Linked DNA regions of Mus musculus: region 2 is reported to be linked to region 1. The links are microRNA targets in miRTarBase. Many come from high-throughput screens and were not tested one by one. Region 1 holds a microRNA gene; the other region holds the end of a gene's coding sequence. Distances are from middle to middle.
What was found. The annotated mature microRNA mmu-miR-5124a reads GGUCCAGUGACUAAGAGCAU and lies in region 1 at 1,404-1,423, opposite strand. An mRNA with a match to its seed (bases 2 to 7 or 8) in the 3' UTR can be bound and repressed. Matches are read on the target gene's strand: a 7mer-m8 pairs with bases 2 to 8, a 7mer-A1 pairs with bases 2 to 7 and ends in A, and an 8mer does both.

Region 2: miRTarBase lists Hcn1 as a target of mmu-miR-5124a. Seed matches in the 3' UTR shown: 7mer-m8 at 2,107-2,113.

Annotation. Positions count from the first base shown.
Region 1 is chr13:40,864,224-40,867,223 of GRCm38, reverse strand. It overlaps Mir5124a (microRNA 5124a), which reads right to left and starts at 1,433; the gene lies at 1,362-1,433. It also overlaps a transcript of Gcnt2 not described here.
Region 2 is chr13:117,975,485-117,979,019 of GRCm38, reverse strand. Hcn1 (hyperpolarization activated cyclic nucleotide gated potassium channel 1) reads right to left here. Exons shown (of 8, transcript NM_010408.3): 8 at 1-3,535. The coding sequence ends at 2,786. Among named protein-coding and RNA genes, the nearest start is that of Gm3474, 18 kb to the right of the region's middle.

The DNA of each region.
Region 1 (3,000 bases):
TTCCAGGACAGCCAGGGCTACACAGAGAAACCCTGTCTTGAAAAACAGAAAGAAAGAAAGAAGGAGGAAGAGAGGGGGGAGGGAGGAAGGAAAGCTTGGTGTAATGGAACAGGCCTTTAATTCCAGCTCTCAGAAGCAGGTGGATCTCCATGAGTTCGAGGCCAACTTGGTCTACAGAACCAGTTCCAGGACAGCCAGGGCACAGAGAAACCTTGTGTCAAAGAACCAATTAATAGATTCATTAATTAATCAATTAATTAATAGAAGAAGAAAGAAAGAAGGAAGAAATTGCTGCTTACAATGAAATATACAAATCACCTCGTGTCTCTGTTTGAGCCTTTGAGACCCTAAAAGGTGAAAGGGCCAACAGGATCCCTAGTGTTCAACCTGCTTCATTTTCTTCGTGTTCCTGTGGGTGAGACTACACAGGCGTGTGAGGCATTCTTGGTGGGATTCCTTAGGTGTTGTCTAGCTGGTCCTTTTTAAAACAAGGTCTCTTATTGGCCTGAATTCCAGCCGAGTATTTAAGTGGGCTCCCCAGGGAGCCCCCCCATCAGCACTGAGGTTTGTGTGGATGGTCTTTTGGGGTGCCCCTAGGCAGGAATCTGGCCTTAGGCCATGATAAGGAAGTAAGTCTCCACGAGAATCTAACTTTAGGCTACAATAGGGAAGTGGGGTTAAGGCAGGAATTTTAATCTTAGGGTGCAACAAAAGAAGTAAACTTCAGGCAAGATTTGGGGCTTGGACTGGGAAGTGGGCTCAAGTATTTTGGTCATTATAACAAGCCCTTTTAAACAACTGTCATGGCAGTAATTCCCGGACTTTGCTTACTGCCTTGTTATTTCCTTATTGTACTGCTTGCCTTCAATACTTGCATGTAATTAAAATGGTATAAAAAGTGGATTGGGAAAATTAAATTTGCCTTCAGTCTCAGAATTGACCAGGGTCATGCTACAATGTTGTCTAACTGTCTTTTTTCTTTTTAATCCTCACTCCTGCGCTGGAGAACCTGTTGATTGACTGAGTGGGCTTGGTCAGGTTTGCCAGTGTGCCCCACAACTGCCTTTAAATAGCAAAGACGTGTTTCTGGGGATAGAACTCTGGTCTTGGTGTTTGCAAGGCAAGGACTTTACTGCCTGATATATCTCTGAGACTACCTCAACCCATTTTCCCCGGCAGTGAATGTGGACCCACAAAATGTAGGCAAGTCATTTCAACTATCCATTGGGATAATTTTAAACAAAATTTTAGTTTGTTGTTTTGTGGGTGGGCATTTGGTGTGTGTGTGTACAGCTGTGCACCACACTTGTACAATCCCCTGGAGCTAGAGTTACAGATTGCTGTGAGCCACCATATAGGTGCTAGAAATTGAACTTGGGTCCTCTGCAAGAACAAGTGCTCAAATGCTCTTAGTCACTGGACCCACCTTTCTAGTCCCCATCAATTTCTGACATAGGAAAATAACAATTAAAAAAATAATTAATTAAAATGTCAAAACCTCTGGTAGTCTTCAATTCTGTTGGTTCACTTTTTATGTTGTAACTTCCTGCGACTAAGACCCTCATTATCGTCGCTTAAAATGTAGTGAGTGAACGTCTCTGTGCCTTGAGTCCTGTCAGTATCTGACATCGGGATGACACAGGTGTGAATTGTACTCTCGCAAGAAAACTAGGAAATAATTCTGTACCTCAGCTAGGGAAGGAGGAAAAAGGAAGTGGCTTATAGGGTGTGCAGGACCACAGACTATCATGGAACAAAGCCAGAGGCCAGCAAAGGGGAGAATAGAGTAAGGTAAGGCATTCAAGACACAGTGAACCCCTTTCTCTTTATAAAATTTATAAAGAAATGATGACACTCGTTTCCTTGGTAACCTACCTACATAACAGGTGAGTGAAGTCTGCAGGAACCTTGGTTCCCTCTTAAGAGACTGTGTACTTATAAAAAACTCACGGGTGAAGGCCAGACTGGTGGCATATGCCTTTAGTCCCAGCCCTTTGAAGGCAGAGGTAGGAAAATCTTTATGTTCAAGGCCCAGCCTGGTATATGTAGGTGAGCTCCAGATTAGCCAGAGTTATATAGTGAGACACTGTCTCAAAAAACAAAACAAAACAAAACAAACAAACAAACCAACAAAACAAACCCACAAACGAGCTCATGGGTCTTCTAACTAACTGGTCCCCTTTCTCATACATATACGAAACAGAGATCATTTAAGCTCAACTAGTAGTAAAATGTATCCCCTACCCCCGATTGATTGATTTTTCTCTCATACAGCTCTGGCCATAGACTCAGTGATCTCAAAAATTTCATGAGCCCAATTGGTTTGGGAAGCATAAGTTTCCTATGGATGTAAGCTCTCAGGTACATTATAGGCCACAAATGAGCCACATTCCCTAGACTACTGTGGTTCAGATCCGTTTCCTGCTTCCATCACTTAAAGCTTGGGTCCTGGCACCTGCGCTCAAGGAGTGCACCAGTCTCAATGGATTACAACATGGGCAGCGCTTAAGATAAAAATACAGTAAGCCAGCCATGTCCAGGATCCAGGAGAGAGACTATGGGATAAAACAGGGCGGGTCCAGAGTCTGGCCTAGAGGTCAATGGAACCTGGAAACAGGTAGAGCCTGTTCTCCAGGCTCACCATCACCAAACTCTCCCCGAACCCGAACCCCCTTTTCAGGCCCTGTGCTAGTTTGGAACTGAAACATCTTTGCAAAAACTCAAGTGTTTCAAGGCTTTGTTCCTAAGGCAGCGGTGTTCATGCGTGGGGCCTTTGGGAAGAGATCAAATCATGGGGGCTTTGACCTCAGCAATGGCTTCACAGCGGCATCAGTTTGGAAGATGGTGGAAATGTCAGGAGGTGAAACCTAGGTGGAGAAAGGTCCCTGAAGGACAGCTTTTGTCCGTGACCTATCCTCTCCTAGGCTTTGCTTCCCAATAACTGTGAAGCCACTGACCAGGAATGTCTAAGTAGGCAAGATTCAACTTACCTGGCAGTTT
Region 2 (3,535 bases), 77 Mb from region 1:
TTCATTCTATATCTGTAGAATTTCTATAACAATTGTATGGTGATTTTCAAAAACAAATCTTTTTGGAGATTATACAAAGAGAGAACAACAAGCAAATCTGTACTCCTCAATGAGTTAAACATTTGATTAGATTTCAACAACAAAATAAAATATTCATAATTTGGTTTATTTTCTTTTGAATTTATTAATAATCTTAATATATATTTATATATGTATGGCTTTGAGCAAAGACAAAAGAAATACTCTAACTCTTCCCTGGTCATACAGTGCAAAGTATAAGTTATTGTTCTACTTTCTCAGCAGTAAAAGACCCCAATACAGCTCTTCCCGTACAGATTAAAACTCCGTACTTGAGCTTAACTATGTACAGAGAAAAAAGGTCATGTTCTCCTAGCACTGTACCTTTACAAACACACACATTCATACATATGTGTATTTAATATACCCTGTATGGTTTTGTTACTTTAACATATAAACCTTAGTGTTCTTTGTCCATTCGAGTACAAAGTGAATAAAAATTTTATTGGTTGCACTGAATAACCATGCAATTCAATTTTGCGGATGTTCTCCAATAGTGCTCAAAAAATTGATATATAAAAATATTTTACTACGAAATGCATTAATCCTGCCAAAGGTAGACCTTTAATAATTTAAAGGACTAGTACATGATCTTAACAAGAAGCTAATTTTTAAATTTAATAAAATAAAGGAGTTTTGTACTGATATGTGATAGGTCTTGCAACTTTCCCATAGATTTTACGTAGGCTGCAGGATCTCTCTCTTACATCATTCCTAACAGGATACCATTGGTCACTAGCATTACAGGAATGACATCACGTTACCTAGCATTGCTGATTGTTTCACACAAGGTAGGATCCGTTAGCAATTAAGTGCAACGACTCATTTTGGTTTCATAAAAGGCAATGTAGATCCACTTTAAACCTCTTGCTTCTACTTTTGTTCTTGGTCCTCAAGGATACCTGGAGGCCCTGTCCCAATAGAATGTATGGTCTTTATGTTCTTAAATAGATCATTTGTGCCTGTAATGTCAAAGACCTCCATATCAGCTCACTCTCTTGAGTTACGTACAGAAGTCAGGCACTAGAGAGCCTGCTACTGTGTTCTACTCACCCACCACTTGTGTGAGGTGCAGCAAACACACATGAAGCAAGATCGCTAAGGGACTTCCCTAGATTAGGCTCCATGATGCTCACAGAAAGAATTAAGGAAACAAGTGAACAAACAGACAATGCTTTCAGACAGCTCAATTCCCCCCTGCTTCCCCTCACGGAGTCCATATAAGTTTCAGCACATTTGAAAGAACAAACCTCCTGTCTATCTAAGGACTATGTAGGTTACCACATGCCTTAAGATTTACTAACTGCTTAGTTACAATATACAAAGGGCAAAATGTGTATTTCCAAACAGATGTGGTGATATATAGTATTTATTTCTTCACATTAACATCACAATAAACTACCAACTAACATGAAGACACATAACACCTTTAACTCCAAAACAAGCTATGGTTTGCAAATGATTGCTTAAACAATAAGAACAGCAACAATATCAAATGAAAGTGAAAACCTCACTTCTAGATTTAAGTCAGAGATCCAAGTCAGCCTTTTAAGAATTTTAAGAGAGGCAATTAATGAATAGTTATACTCATCTAGAAGTGAGAAATACTGTCAGCCTTTTCTTACAATGATTGATTTGAATCTACTTTTTTTTTTAAGTTATTTTATTTTATTTTTTTTTGCCCCCGAAAGCATGCCAGGACCAGGTTCAGGTGCTTGATTATGTCAAGAAGGAATAAAAGTAATGATTTTTGGTGTCATACAAGCAATTTGTAGGTTCAAGCATACAATTTTTGCATTAAAGTATCGCAGGTTAAAAATGATATTGTAGGTCTCAAGCCATTGCATTACATTTGAACAGCTGTCACAATTAGAGTGTTTTGTGAAATTTAAAACTCTAACTTTTGAAGTGAAGCAGTAAAACTAAATTCTTAAACACTGACTTTTACCTTTCTACAACACAGAATAGTTACTTTAATTCGGGCTGGGAAAGTTATTTACAGCTAACATTGACTGCGTCTTGGTAAAAGTCCAGTGACACATGAAGACAAATATCTCCTCACTTTTCTCACAAAATCAATGAACATGTTTGAGGTTAGAGGAAGCCTTAATGGCAATGTTAGTCTCCTACGGTGGCTGAGCATGGAGCGTGTTCCTTCACCTAACTCAAAATTTAAAGCACCAAAATACAATTGAGAGCTATAAACTGGGATTTGTTTATTGAATCCCGCATAATTAACAACCTAGACGCAGAGGCACAGCTAATGAAAGAAAGCTTTGATTGGTGCTATGCTGGATCTAATTGGAGTTGCCTTTTTTAAAATCAAGAGTTTTGTTTCCATTGACTCCAAGAACTCTTCATAAAAGGGAGAAACACATATATCAAAGGAATCAAGTAAAAGGTTAGAAATCAATGACCTTACAACAATGTGTTAAATCCTTTAATGGTTTTAAAGAGAGGAAGACATGTAACACTGAATGTTATACAAGTCTTTTGAACTTCTCTTGGGCATTTAGATATATATATATATATATATATTTAATTATATATGTATATATGTTTTTACATTTGCATGTAGGCCACAGCTTCTAAAATATTTTTTTTTCAGAGTAGGCTATAGGGATCTATCGTGAGATAGAATAAAATAATATCTGAGAATATTCTGTTTATTAGAGTACTTCTTTTCTGCTTTGACAATCATCAAGAATCATAAATTCGAAGCAAAACGGGGTTTTTCTGCATCTGGGTCTGTATTTAGGACTGAGGGAGACTCTCTCTGCACAGCTGCTGGTGGAGGGGGTGCTGGAGGCACTCCTCGGTTGGGGGGGATGGCTCCCGAGGACATCTGTCGGAACAAGGTGACACGTTGTGGCACTGTGCTCCTGCTCCCTGCCTGAAGGCCAGTGCTGTGGACTGCTGCCACGGGTTGAGGGATAGAGGCCAGGGATTCGCCCACAGTGGGATGAGGTCTGGAGATCAAAGTGGAGACCTCATGGGGCAGAGAAGGCTGCGAGGCGGAAAGGGGCCTGACTTCTTTGGTCAGGTTGGTGTTATGAAGGGCTTGTGTGCTCTTGTGCACTTCATTTTTCGGTGTGGAGCTACCAGGTGTCTGTGGCTGCTGCTGCTGCTGCTGCTGCTGCTGCTGCTGCTGCTGCTGCTGCTGCTGCTGCTGCTGTTGTTGCTGTTGCTGCTGCTGCTGCTGCTGCTGTTGCTGCTGCTGCTGCTGAGTCTGAGTCTGAGTCTGCTGTACCTGGGACTGCGGTAGTTGCTGCTGAGGCTGCTGCATGAGTGACAGCTGGGACGCAGTGGGAGAGGCATAATGGAAAGTTCGTGTGGCCAGGGGGCTCTGTATAGGAGGACTGCAGACTGCTGTGGTATAGGAGCAGGGTGAAAGGATGGCTGAGGGTTGGGGCGTCTGTGTGCTGGGACTGGGTGAGTGCAGATTGCTGTGAGACAG